Linked DNA regions of Anolis sagrei. The protein of the gene in region 1 interacts with the protein of each later gene in a pairwise test. Links are inferred from orthologs where the notes say so. Each region holds a gene or a part of one and is shown in the gene's direction. Other genes may lie near its edges.

Region 1 (7,706 bases):
ATCTATGAGTGACATGTTTTGCTATGTTCCTCAATCTGTTTTAGTGCTATGCTTGTGATGGCCAAACAAGATGTTATTGTGGCAAATACATGCCCTCTTTCACTTTTCTCCATTCATACCTCATCTGGAAATGAAGTGAAAAATAGAGGGATGTAAGCAGCAAGCAAATGGCTCCAGGAAGGATGATGCGGCCTGGTGTGTGTGTTTGTGTGGGTAAGACCTTCTCCCTACTCTACTTTTTATATTTGAATGGGAGAGATATGAGAATAATGTTATGCAGTTTCACCTTATGTAGCTTCTCTGCGTATTACTAGCCATTCCTTTAATAATCACTATTCACAATGTTGAGTTATAACCATTCTTCTTTGGACACCTTCTCATCATTCTCCAATCTTGCTCAACCTGTTCTCCAGAGTCATAGTCCCAACACTCAAACCACTCTGCCATGCTGGCTCCACTTATATAGTACATTGCCCTATAACCAGTATATCTGCTGACTTGGAAGGTGCTGAACAGACTGCACTCTGGCACCCTGAGATGCAGAGCCAGCCTTAAGAAATGGGGCTACAAAGTGGAATCCACAACCCGTGGGTGTGGAGAAGAGCAAATCACAGACCACCTATTACAATGCAGACCACCTATTACAATGTGGGCCCTGCCACATGCACAATGAAGGACCTTCTTATAGCAACACCAGAGGCACACCAGAGGTCAGCTATTGGCCAAAGGACATTTAGTGTATTGCCAAGTTTTTAAAACGTTGTTTGGGTTTTTAAATACATTACAACTGTACTCTCAATTTGCTTCTTACATGATAAATAAATAAATGCTGAAAGGTAAACCATCCTGAGCTAATTGGGACTTTGTCCCTGCTAGGCTTTTATTGGATTTCAGCCTTTGAATGTGCTTGGTTGAAGACAGAGAACTTTCTCACACCTAATAGGAAGGGTTTCATTGCCTCACTTGTGAAATTATTGAGCAATCTGAAAGATCTGGTCCAGAGCAATGATGGTTAGAGTTGCTAATTGTCAGGGATGGATGCCTTATTCATGCTCCTAGCTCCTTCACAGCAGTGAGAACTCACTCCTCTCTGGCACGAAGGAGGAAGGATATCCTGGCATGGCCTGCTCCCAGCAGGGGGGAGATGGGCTCACTATCACAAACCCAAAGTGTTTCTTTCCAGCAGAGCCTGTCAAATGTCTCCATTAACACATCCCTCAACTTTTCTTGCCCTTCAGCTGCTGCTCCAGGGAGTTTCTTTAATGGCTGTTTTGATTCTTTATGTTGTTTGAAAGTAGAGGCTACTTTTCAGATATTTGAGAAGGTCCTATCTGTTTTAATGTAAGCCAATTGCATCTCCTCCCTCTCCCTCCTTCTCTGGTAAGCTCTGCCAAAAAGTCCCAGTCCTTTAATTTCCAAACAAAAAAAAAAAACCCAAAACAAAACAAAAACTGTTTTCAGGTTTTCCTTCATACTCATACATCACAACTTGGAAGTTCTGTATAAAGAAAAACTGATAAAATTTTTGATACTAAGGGACTAGGTATTCAGACTGAATATTGTGAAAAGGGTCATTGCTAGCTGAACCCTGAAAACAAAACAGGGTGCATAATACCAAGGAAAAAATAAGGGAGAAAACATCAAGGGCTGATGCAAAAAAAAAAAAAAAAGAATTTTATGTGCTAAAGGCAATATTTCACCTTCAATGGCACCATAGCATGTAGAGCAGTAGGAAAAGAGGAAAACCACATTTTAGAGGGATAAACTGAATTACAGAAGTAATGGCTGCCCTCAGTCTGCAAGACCCGCACAGTCTGTTGATGATAGCCTAACTTGAAGGTCTGCCATTCATGGAGCCAGCACAAATGAAAGCCATCTTGATAGTAGTTAACAACAGTGGAAAACTAAATGCTGGTTGTTGCTCAAGTGTCAGTGGAGCTATCCAGAAAGTTGAATCCTATCTACAAAAAAAGTCAGCATTTTTGAGATCCTCATGAACTGAAACCTGGATCATTTTTCCTACTACCCTGTCTTAAGGGTGTGTTTTTACTTTAATTATTACAGCAATATCCTGAGAAATTCTGGGATTTGTAGTTTAGGGAAAATTATGTTACAAAGTGCTCTAGTGAATCTCCAATCTACAAATTCTACTGTTTCATAGGATGATACCATGGCATCTAAAGTAGAATTGTAATACTATAATTATGTAGTGGAATGGGAGACCGTAACTAGATTAACTGCCCTGCTGAGGTGTCAGCCACCAGCCACCACTTGCATGAATGATTTTTAAAAAAATGCAGGTTATTTGAAAGTGAACCATGTCAAGGTTTTAACTGGTGTATAAGTTACTAGGTGGCATCAACTATTGCCCAAGTTCACAATATGTAACTGACGACAGCAATAATACACCAGATTTCTTCTAAAAATTCAATGCACTGAATAATAATAATAATAATATATTGTCACACCCTTTCAAATATTTAAACATGGCAAACATGTCCCCTCTCTTTAATTCAGAGATTTTATCTGGAGTACTGAGATATAAATCTCAGTACTCAGTACTCAGTACTCAGTTTCTTGATACAAGGCCCCATCTCTGTATGAATAGATGAGCAAACAGGGCAAAGGAAGCAAGTGAATCAGTGATGATTAACTTGTTTTCATGGCATCCCAAATAAGAAGCATACAGTTTATAATATCCGAGGCAGGAATAAGAGGTTCTGGAATCCTTATTACTTGGAGGAAGGGCACTATCACATGGGGAATACAAATGCATCCATGCATTGCCATGTGAGTATGTTGGAGCAAGAAAGTGAAACATGTGGGCTGTATGTGTCTTCCAAACCTCCCTTGCTTTTGCAGACTTTTCAGCTTATTTATTTTTAAAAATATAAATTGTATTTGTTGCCAATGAGGAGGGAAGCTTACCAAATATATGTTATCCTTCCTTTGTCTCCTTACCTGAAACATTTTTGCAGTGCTACCACTGACAGGTAAGTAAAAGCCTATAGGATCATACTGAACAAACGCTCCTTCCTTCTGTCTGGTGTGCTATTGTGAGCTGTGGACATCCTTGAAAGGTTTTGGAACTGCCATCAGAGCCCGAGTGCCCTTAATAGAAATCAATTTGCATGCAACATTCCTCAGTTCACATTCAATGGCTAATCAAGGTTTTGTGAACTACAACATTTCTTTGCTCAGGACAGCTGAAAGGAGAAAAAGGAAGGATTTGAAACTGAAAATAATTGGGAGGAACCGATCTATCCTCACTCAGGACGTGAGCTGTGTGCATGAGAAGGAGAGATGGATCTAATGTCAAGGGTGGCATATATGCACATTCTGAAATGTGGTAGATTCTTATGATGACAGTCCCTCTGGGTTCTCCAAGGAGAGTCCCAGAATGCAAGCAGTTATATTGATCCATCCCAATGAGCCAGTTCCCCCAGTTTGCCTTCCCATTAGGTGGTCTTTTGTAAAGGTCTTAACATTTAATGGTTCCAGAGAAAGTGGCAATAAAAGGCTTACATTAGAGCAAAAGTGGCTCACAACAATAGATTTTTGCTAGGGAAATCAATGTTTTCCCCTCACAGCCCAGTTTAGCTCAGAGGAAAGAGCAAAATCCAAATACAGATGTGGAAAGGATCAGGTGATGCCATGGTCCCTGATGGACTTTCAGCCCTGCAAGGCCTGGCTCACTACATACACACTGCTTCTGTCAAAATAGCTTGACAATACTGGAGCCCTTAATTGTGCTGTTGTAGGCATGCCTGAGTGCCATCTGGGAAGGGAAGAGGCCTGACTGAGAGTTATAGCTGTGAAAGAGTGGAAAATGAGTGCCTTGCCTCCCAGATAAGGATTCTACCCTCCGCAGGGAAGTTTATGCACTTATTTATTGACTGCATTTTTATTTCAGCATAAGGACTCAAGGTGGTTAACAGCAAACATGATGCAATGTAAACTAAAAATAAAGCTAATGTATTAAAATATGAATATAAAAGATAAACCAATTAAATATTTTGTGTCATGAGGCATATAAATTAAAATACAATTAAAATACCATAAAAACTACATAGCACCCTCTCCCCAAATCCCACTCACACCATTCCCAGCAGCCTGCCCCTCACCTTTCCCTAAATGCCTGATGGCAGAGATACATTTTCACCTGCCTATGAAAGACAAGCAGGGATGAGGCTCTCTTGGGCCCTTCCACACAGCCCTATATCCCAGAATATCAAGGTAGAAAATCCCACATTATTTGAGTGTGGACTATCAGTTCACAATAGATATTGTGGGATTTTCTGCCCTGATATTCTGAGAAATAGAATTGACTAGGCTGGCTAGGGTTTCTGGGTATTGTAGTTCAGCAAAATTAACAAATGCTGATTCCCGTTCTTGTACAAAGGCAGCGGTTCTCAACCTGTAGGTCCCCAGGTGTTTTGGCCTACAACTTCCAGAAATCTCAGCCAGTTTACCAACTGTTAAGATTTCTGGGAGTTGAAGGCCAAAATATCTGGGGACCCACAGGTTGAGAAACACTGGGCTAAGGCAGGCTGTGCAGGCCCAGGAAATGGCTTTCAGGTGTGCTCTGCTTCTCAGCTCTTGGACAGCTCCTCTTTTGCAGCACTAAAAGCCAAATGCAACAGATGATCCCAACCGTTCCCACTAGATGGCATCCAATTCATATTGCACAAGGAAGCTGATGCTGCTTCTCCTCCTCCACCGAATCCTGACTCTGAGCAGTGCATCCTTCCCCGATAGAAACAATGCAGCCCGTTCACAAGGTTAAAGCAGAATGTTTTGGCTGGCCAAGAAGATGCGAGGCAGTTGTTGGACCGGGATGGAGGAGCTGTGCCCTTTAACCACTGTATCTCCGGCTGTGACTGGGAGTCTGCTCTCAACGAGGAAATAAGCCCTGGAAATGGCATCTACCTGGCAGTGCTGAAGCTCGCCTGGAGAAGGAAAGGAGCAAACGTTTGCTGTGGGGGTTCAATTGAGGTGTATGCTGAAAGAGAGAGAAGGAAGTAACTGGCTGGGATGAAGGATCTCACCCATAGAGGAGTCTCTGAACCCAGGCATTTTTCACCTGAATTGAGGATTTAATATCTGGAGAAAAGGGGTGTTGTGTTTGCTTCAATTTGCTTCCAAAATGTGACTAAAGCCAATACTACACCATTCAGTCATCTTCTGTCTTTGCTCATACCTGTTTCTCCTACAGCTGAAATCCATTAAGAGAAAAACCACACAAGCAGACTGCCCAGGAGGGAAACGAAGATCTCATTTGCTTTATTTATGTGGATTTATTGTGCAAATTTGATATTCCTTTTCTTCACGTGTTGCTGAGAGTCTCCAGCTATGTACTCTTTGAAATAACTGTGGTCAGACTCATGAAATACTGGCTGTGTTTTTAATTTTTTTCTGAAACAAAGTTTGAACAATGATTACAGTGAATTCAGATGGGAAAATAATGGTCAGAAGATGTCTTGTCACCCTAAAGCCTTTTAGGTAAAGTTCTCCTGTTTTGCTTCACGCTGATGTAGAGCTTGGAAGGAAATGGAGAAAACTTCCTTATTGTGTGATGTGTGCCAACCTTTTGTTGCCTAAGGGGAGAGAGCTCATTTGAAGTCTGTAAAAGAAGTGGGTTTGTTTTGACTTCACCTGAACGTAGGTGGTTGAATGCCTTGCCGTGGTGGCATCCTGCTGGAATTGCTGAGGGCTAGTTTCTTGGAGTAAATAGTTACTATTTCATGTTGAGACTTGTAGATAAGAGGTTTATGTGGTTTTTTAAATCTTGTAAATGCACCTTAGATACATTGTTCTAAGTTAACTGCTCTCCATAAAATAACTCCAGGTCCATACTGCTTCCATTCTCAATGGGTTCCAGGAATTTCAGTTTCTCCTTGCTGCTATATTCAACCTGTGGGTCCCCAGATGTTTTGGCCTTCAACTCCCAGAAATCCCAACAGCTGGTAAATTGGCTGGGATTTCTGGAAGTAGAAGGACAAAATATCTGGGGACCCACAGGTTGAGAACCACTGGTTATGGTTTTCCCCTCACAAAAGAAATTGCTTGCATGACTCCAGTTTACTATTGTAGTCTGTGTATGTTCTAAGGTAGTGTTCACATGGGGAAGGCTGTGATGGTGAAGTGGTCTAATAGGCCAACTCAGATTGATTTAAGGATCAAACCATTGGTGAAGATAACATGAGAGTAAGTCACAGCTGCTTCTCATTTTATAGTATCTTAAGGTAAAGGTTGTCCCCTGACATTAAGTCCAGTCATGTCTGACTCTGGGGTGTGGTGCTCATCTCCATTTCTAAGCCGAAGAGCTGGTGTTGTCTGTAGACACCTCCAAGGTCATGTGGCCGGCATGACTGCATGGAGTGCCGTTATAGTATCATAGTTTCCCACTATAAGTAGGTTCCCAGTTTAAGAAATAGCCATAGACAGTAAATAAAAATGCAGACAGAAGGTAGTGATTTCCAATAGGAGTAAATGGAAAAGTTATTGTTTTGTATTACAACTCTCAAAGTTTCCTAAGCAGCGTGGCCACTGGCCATTTTGGCATGGGCTTATGTTTTTCTGAGAGTTATACAGGTAGTCCCCAAGTTACACACATGATCATTTCTGTAGGTTTGTTCTTTAGTTGAATTTGTATGTAAGTTGAGACAGGTATATTTTTAAGTGTAAGTCTCTCTCTCTCTATATGTGTGTGTGTGTGTGTGTGTGCGCGTGCATACTTTGGGTAGCATAGGGAAGGGTTAACACCCCTGTGGTGTTTGTTTTGCTGCCTGTGTTTCAGTTCAAAAAAAATTCACTTCACTTTCTGTCCCTGTTATCATTGAATTTTGCAATATTTGGCTTGTTATGGAAACAAGGATTGGTAAGAAAGCTTCATGATGACTCTTCCAGGAGTGAATTTCCTTTCCTAGGGGTGGATTTTTTTCACTTCCTGTGGTCTCAGCTCAACTATTAATTATGAATCATTTGTAAGCCGGATGTTTCTAACTTAGGATCTTGCTGTAGTCCATGGAAGTGACTATTCCAAGCTCTTATCTTTGTCTTCTTGGAAGTAAGTTTCATTGACCTGTGGTACCATTGCCCAAATGAGACATGATGAAGGAGACTCATGTTTGTTGGTGTGTTGATAACATTCAAATCCATTTTACAGCTCGATTATACTTAAAACATTTTGAATTTCTGTTTGTAAAAGCAATAGCAACAGCAAACCATTTTTTTTGTAGTGGGGAAATGGTGCTAAAGGGACAAGATGTTTAGTCCTTTTCTGCACCCTGCTTTTCCCCACCAAAAATTGCCCATTTGAAGCTACCCAGCCAGAGAATCTATAAATGGGGGAATCTAAGCCTGAGCTCATGCTAAACCAATTATGTTTATTTGATGTAAGTTTGGCCATAAGGCTAAAACTGTCTTTTTAGCTGTGGCTACCTGGAACGTTTTCCTCAGGCAGGTGTCAACTGCCAGTTCTGGGGTACCAGGCAAATGCCCAGCTATTTCTACATGTCATGTAAGTTTCCTTGTTTCTGTTTTGTTCTCTTATGGGTTTATTTGAATTTAGGGCAGCCAGTTATGGTGGGTCCCCTGGGGACAGTCTTGGGGCCACATGGAGTGTTAAAATGCCAAATAAATAAATAATCAGACCTGGAAGTGACTAGAAGGCTCCTCTGGGATCAATTCACATGGCAGTTCAA
Region 2 (7,139 bases), about 29 Mb from region 1:
TTAAATCCATGGGATGGGGTGAGCTCCTTCTGTTAGTCCCAGCTTCTGCCATCCCAGCAGTTCAAAAACATGCAAATGTGAGTAGATCAACAGGCACAGCTTCAATAGGGAAGGTAACAGTGCTCCAGTCATGCTAGCCACATGACCTACTGACAACGCTGGCTCTTCAGCTAAGAAATTGAGATATTCATCACCCCCCAGAGTCGGACTCAACTAGACTTAATGTCAAGGAGAAACCTTTACCCTAAACTTTTATGTATTTTATATCATAACAACTTCCTTTCCACCATTTCATTCTATATATTTATTTTGCTGCTTCAATATAATTTATTACTTGTTAGGGTAAAACTGCAGTTGGTAGTCATTCAAGTTCATTTAAATCAGTGTTTCTCAACCTGGGGGTCTGGATCCCTGGGGGGTGTCAGAGGGGTCACCAAAGACCATTGAAAACACAGTATTTTTCTGTTGGTCATGGGGGTTCTGTGTGGGAAGTTTGGCCCAATTCTATCGTTGGTGGATTTCAGAATGCTCTTTGATTGTAGGTGAATTGTAAATCCCATCAACTACAACTACCAAGATCTATTTTCCCCAAACTCCATCAGTATTCACATTTGGGCATTTTGAGTATTCGTGCCAAGTTTGGTCCAGATCCATCATCGTTTGAGTCCACAATGCTCTCTGGATGTAGGTAAACTACAATGTGTACAGAACTGCCTTCTAAAACTCATTTTCATCCTACTACTAAGCATTGCCAGCCGCCTTAACTTCATTTTTTTGAAGTCAGTTTAAATTTATAATTTCTCGGCTGAGTGCAGACCACTGAAATAATATCTCTAATGTAAATCCATTAGAATGGTGGAGGTTTCTTTTTATTATTATTATTGATATTTCTTTTTAAAAAAGGACAATTGCACACATGGTGGAGGTTTCTAATTAAATTTTTATCTAACTAATTCATCATCATATTACTAAATTACGAATGTAGTATCACTAATGTTCCAGTATTTTAGCATACACACTGAATCCAGTTGGATTAGTGGAAGGGCTCAGTCTCCACATGATGGAGCTGTATGGAGAGCATACTTTGAACAGATCTGCTGAAAGCAGTGGAATTCAGGCTAGTGATGACTGATTTAAATCCCATTTATTTCAAAGGGAATATTAGAAGCATGGTTAAATGGATTTTGGTTGCTGAAACGGGTATCTGTTTAACCAGTCTGTAGGCTATCTGCATAATGGTCAACACAGTGACTCTGGTGGTAATAATATAATTGTTTGAAATCCATTTTTAATTAAATGACTTGTAGACAAGATTAGTCCTTGGATAATTTAGCTTGGCATACATTCCTAAACATGTTTACTCCAAAATTAATCTCACTGAGTTCAGTGGGGCCACTGCCTAGCAAATACTTAGGATCTGTGTGTACTATTAGCCTATAGGCTCTGGCAATGGATAAGAACAACCAAACCAAAAATGGCTTGGATGTGCAACTTTGTTCTCAAATTCATTACAAATCCAAAACTCAAAATGGAACCATATCTTTATGAGAATTAATCAGATTGTGTGCAAGCTTTGGAGGTCCCACAAGTGCACTTGGCGGGGACGAGACAGAACCTTCTTGGCGGTGGCCCCACGCCTGTGGAACCCGCTCCCCAGCGAGATCAGGTTGGCATCTTCCCTCCTTTCTTTCAGAAAGAAGGTTAAATCATGGTTCCAGGACCAGGCCTTTGGACAGCAAGAATGACAGCACTTTAGATGTTGAATCAGACTGGAATTGGCAATATGGATTGATGACAAAGTTTTTTATGTGTTTTTAACTTAATGTTCTATTTACTCTTTTAAACTGTTGTTATATTTGTTTATATCTGTATTATCTTGTGCCATCAAATTGTTGCCGGTGTAAGCCGCCCTGAGTTCCCCCTTGGGGGTTGAAAAGGGCGGATTAGAAATGTGGGAAATAAATAAATAAATAATTTTTTTTGGATTGTATAGCCATATTCTGGAAGCTTTCTCTCCTGACATTTCTCTCCTGTCATCTATGACAGGAATGGGGAGAGAATCAGGGCAAATCAGGGCAGACCTATGGCCATCAGGCACAGGAAACTTCTAGTCTTGATCCTTTTGATTCCTCCCCCATCTCCCCAAACTCCCCAAAATCCTAAATCTGGGGAAACTAAAGGGTGTGGTATTTACATACAAAACAGAAGTCTGCTATTCCTTCCATCAGCTTAGAAGCAATACTTTGAACAAGAAAGACCATGTGGATTGGGTTTTCAAAGGCAATGCCAAGTTAAAGGGACAATGCCATGTTCCAGAAGCATTCTCTTCTGACATTTCGCCCACATCTATGGCAGGCATCCTCAGAGATTGTGAGGTCTGTTGGAAACTAGGCAAGTGGGGTTTATATATCTGTGGAATGTCCAGGGTGGGAGAAAGAACTCTTGTCTGTTAGAGGCAAGTGTGAATGTTGCAATGGGCGAACTCTATTAGCATTGAATGGCCTTGCAGCTTCAAAGAACAAATACAGTTTGACACCACTTGAACCACCATGGCTCAATGCTATGGAATGGCGGGGGTACCAAACAATACGTCTCACACTTCCATAGAATTGAGCCATGGCAGTCAAACCACATTCACTCTACAGCAGGCATGGGCCAACTTCGGCCCTCTGGGTGTTTTGAACTTCAACTCCAACAATTCCTAACAGCTGTTAGGAATGTATTGTTGAAGGCTCTCATGGCTGGAATCACTGGGTGGTTGTAAGTTTTCTGGGCTGTAGGGCCATGTTCTAGAAGTTTTCTCTCCTGACATTTTGCCTGCATCTACGGCAGACATCTTCAAATGGCGTTTATATATCTGTGGAATGTCCAAGGTGGGAGAAAGATCTCTTGTCTGCTTGAGGCAATGTGAATGTTTCAATTGGACACCTTGATTAGCATTTAATGGCCTAGCACTTTCAAGGTGTGGCTTCTTACTTCCTGGGGGAATCCTTTGTTGAGAGATGATTAGCTGTCCATGATTGTTTCTTGTCTGGAGCTCCCCTGTTTTTGAATGTTGTTTATTTATTTATTCTTTATTTACTGTTACAATTTTGGAGTTTTAAATAATGGTAGCCAGATTTTGTTCATTTTCATGGTTTCTTCCTTTGAACTTGTCCACATGCTTATGGATTTCAGTGGCTTCTCTGTGTAGTCTGATATGGCAGTTATTAGAGTGGTCCAGTATTTCTGTGTCCAGGTTGGTTCATCAGGTGCTCTGCTATGGCTGACTTCTCTGGTTGAGCGAGTCTGCAGTGCCTTTCGTGTTCCTTGATTCATGTTTGGGGCTGCCTACTGGTTTTAGGGATCGTGGGAGTTCAAGTCCAAAACACCTGGAGGACCGAAGTTGGCTCGGGCCTGATCTAGAGTGTGGGTGCAGCTTCGTGGAGTCCAGGGCTCCTCTGGAAGGAAATGAACCTAGCGAAGAGCGGGGGAGGGGGGGTGTGCATCGGAGCCTCTCTGCTCTTCCTTCTCAGTGGGAATGAAATCCCAGGCCTCTCCTCCCAGTCCTCGCCCATTAGGCCTCAGTAGATGGCAAGCCCTTGCTCTGTTGAGAGAGACGGGAGGTCGCCCTCCCCTCCCATTTCCCTTGTTCGCCAGGTCCCTGCGCCTCTTCCTGGCCTCGGGAAGGGGATGCTAATGGGGCTGTCCCTGGCCATGGCGAGGCAAGGGGGGGGGGGCCGGGGGGCGCCCCGAGGGGAAAGGAAGCCGGGCAGCCAATTTGTAGCCCGGGCTGCGATGGAGAGGGGGCTTGATTGGGAAGAGAGAGGAGGCCGAGTGGAGGAGAGCAGAGGAGCGCAAGGCGAGGGGCGCGCGCTCTTGGAAAGCGGCAGGCCGCGCGCAGAGGGAGGCCGTCGGGATGCTCCGAGGCCAACCTGCCTGCCTCCCCTTGCTTTCCCAGCTCGCGAGAGGGCGGGGGCACTCCGCGCGCCCAGGCCTGCCCTCGCCTTTGCCCCTTCCCCACTCGCACGCGCTGAGAAAACCCGCCCCGGTTTCCTGACTCGACGGCGTCGCGGTGCCAGGGGGAGTGACGTCAGAAGCGGCTCTCCGCCGGGGAAAAGCCCAGGGCCCCGTCCCGCCCCCGCCGCCGCGCACAGAGCACCACGGACCTGCTCCACGCCCTACGCCGGGGCCAAAGGGCCACCCTCCACGGCTGGGCACCCAAAGACACCCGAACGTCTTCAAAGCCTGCAAAAGCCTCGGGGGGCCCATGGAGCCCACTCTGGGCGCTCGCTGAGAAAAGACCACTTTTCCCCCGGCGTGGCCCTTATCCGCCCATCTCGGCCGGGACCCGCGAAGGAGGCTAGGGTAAGCCACGCGCGTCTCTCGGACTCAAGACCTGAGGGGTGAGTGGGAAGCGTGTGGTGGGGGGGGGGTCCTTCCAGCCCTGTCCTCCAAGCCCAGAGAGCGCGCGATACGGCTCCCTCGAGGGTGCGGGCGGGAGGCCGCGGGGGAAACAGGCTCCCGCGTGACTCCCCAGCATCCCCGTCTCGGACAGGAAGCCCCCTTCTCTCTCTCTTCCTGGTCACTCCCCTCACACACACACACACACACCCTGAACCTTCCGCCTCAGCCCTAGAGGGCAGTGCCCCGTCCCCCACTTCGAGGGGGTGAGCCTTCTTATCCATCTCCTGCCAAGAACCGGGGAAATCCTTTTCTACTTCCTCTCCTTCCTTTTGCTCTTCTTCTTTTCCTCCGCTTCGTTTACTTTTTCTTCTTCTTCTTGTCCTTCATATTCTTCCTTCTCTTCTTTTCAGATCTTTTTTTTTCTTCCTCCTCTTCTTGCCCCTCCTCCCTTTATTCCTCTTGGTCTGCCTCCTTCCCTTCCTCTTCTTCATCCGTTACTTTTTTTTCCCTCTCCCGATTCCTTCTTTTTTTTTAGTTTTCATTGTCATCCTCCTTCCTTTCTTCTTCTTCACTAATTTATTTTCTCCCCCTCCTCTTCTTTCTCTGCTTTTCCGTTTTCTTCTCTCTTTTTTTTCTTCGTTTGCTTTTCCCCCCTCCTTTTCCTATCTGTCCTCTTTTCTGTTTTCTTTCTCTTTTCCGTCCTCATTTTCTTTTTCTTCCTCCTCCTATTCCGCTTCTTGTTAGTGTTTTCTTTTTTTCTTTTCTACTTTCACTTCTCTGAATTCCTCTTCTTTGTCTTCCATCTTTTTCCTTCTCCTCTTTTTCATTTTCTTTTTCTTCCTCTTCTTCCTCCTCCTTTTCTTCTTCATTTTCTGCCTCTTCGCGTCATCCTTTTCTTTTTTCTTCATCCACTTCCTTCTCATCCTTTTCTTTATATATTTTTATTTTCTTCCTCTTCTTCATCAATTTCTCTTCCTTCCCCCTATTCTTATTCTTCCTCTTCCTTTTCTTCGTCCATTTCTTTTTCTTCCCCTTTTTCCTATTTGTCCTCTTTTTTCTTCCGCTTCTTCCTTATTTCCTTTATATTTTTCATTTTCTTTCTCCTCTTCGTCACTTTTTTTTCCTTCCTCGTTTTTCTTTCTCCTCTTCCTTTTTTCTTTCTATTTTTTCCTATTCTTTCTCCTCTTCACTACTTTGTTTTCCTTCCTCCTCTTCCCCTTCCTCCTCTACTCCCTCTTCTTCATCAATTTCTTTTTCTCCTCTCCTTTCCTATTCCTCTTCTGCTTTGTTGTTCTCCTCCTTTTCCTCTTCTTCATTATCATCTTCCTCTCGGTGGTTCCAATAGGGAGTAGGGCGAGCTCCCGTCTGTCAGCTCCAACTTCTCATGAGGGGACATGAGAGAAGCCTCCCACAGGATGGTAAAACATCCGGTTTTCCCTGGGCAAGGCCCTTGCAGACGGCCAATTCTCTCACATCAGAAACGACTTGAAGCTTCTCAAGTCGCTCCAAGACCTCATCACACTAGAGAATGAATCACTTTAAATCTGGTTTCTGCTTCCTGCAGAATTCTGGGGTTTGTAATTTAGGGAGGGGCCTTTAACAGCCTCACTAAACTACAAACCCTAGAATTTTGCAGGAGGCAGTGTCTGGATTTAAAGTGGATTCATTCTCTAGTGTGATGAAGTATGAAAAAAACTTTTCTTTCTTTTTCTTCTTCTTCTTCCCTCTCTCCTCCTTCTGTGGCCCGTGGGCCTGAGTCCCCCCCCCCACATCCCCTGTTGCCCCCTCCCTCTCCCCATGCCCCCCCCCTCCTCCTTGGGTCTTCGGCGCGGCTCCCCTAATTGCGTCCCGGGCTTAGCCTTGAAGTTGCAAGTCCTTGACATCTTTATACCTTGTATAAATTCTCGAGGGCTCCTGCGCTTCGTCAAATCTGACAAATATGCCCGCAAATATCCTTCCGCGGTGAAGTGGGGGGGTGCGGCCTGGCTAGTCCTCCCGGCAGCAGAGGCCCCTCGGAGCCGGGCTCCTCTCTGGCCTGGCTGCGAAGGGAAGGGCCCCGGGCGGCGTGGGGCCGAGCCACCACAACCCTCCTCCTGCCCACCGCGGATGCGGGTGACAAGCAACGCCCCAACGCCCCTCATAAACCTTCTGTTTTTTATGGAATTCGATGTTCTTTTTATGGCCGCAGCTACTTGATCCTGAAGGCTCCGTGTGCCCAAGATCTCTCTCCCAGGGATTCCAGTCTTGCACACTTAATATTTTACAGGTGTATTTCTCTAGAGTTTATGTAACTGTCTTATGAATTATTATTATTATTATTATTATTATTATTATTCAGACGACTTTTCTGTGGTTATTTCCTTCCCGAAAATTGTATAATTTTATGATTTTTTAAAATGAGACTGAAAAAATGGTTTGATTTTTCAAAGACCTTCAAAATATTATGCTTTTAAAAAAAAATAGCCGAAATAAATATTCAATCTAACTAGGAAACTGGAAGTGAGCGTTTCAATAAAGTATATAGGAAATCAAAAATACTGGACTGGGCTATATGGCCATGTTCTAGAAGCATTTTCTCCTGACGTTTCGCCTGCATCTATGGCAAGCATCATCAGAGGTTGAGAAGTCTCTTAATTGTGGAGCCCTTAATTGTGGCTCCATAAAACACAAGACCTCACAACCTCTGAGGATGCTTGCCATAGATGGAGGCGAAACGTCAGGAGAGAATGCTTCTAGAGCATGGCCATATAGCC

The links.
Region 2: the proteins of MGAT5B (region 1) and PITX1 interact in a two-hybrid assay, tested with the Homo sapiens proteins (2 studies listed by BioGRID). The link is inferred for Anolis sagrei from reciprocal best matches to the Homo sapiens genes MGAT5B and PITX1.

The regions. Positions count from the first base shown.
Region 1 is NC_090022.1:120,077,812-120,085,517, forward strand, and holds the start of MGAT5B (alpha-1,6-mannosylglycoprotein 6-beta-N-acetylglucosaminyltransferase B), read left to right. Parts: upstream 1-4,685; 5' UTR 4,686-5,434; coding exon 5,435-5,502; intron 5,503-7,706. UniProt on the Homo sapiens protein: Glycosyltransferase that acts on alpha-linked mannose of N-glycans and O-mannosyl glycans.
Region 2 is NC_090022.1:91,207,709-91,214,847, forward strand, and holds the start of PITX1 (pituitary homeobox 1), read left to right. Parts: upstream 1-4,129; 5' UTR 4,130-4,385; intron 4,386-7,139. UniProt on the Homo sapiens protein: Sequence-specific transcription factor that binds gene promoters and activates their transcription. May play a role in the development of anterior structures, and in particular, the brain and facies and in specifying the identity or structure of hindlimb.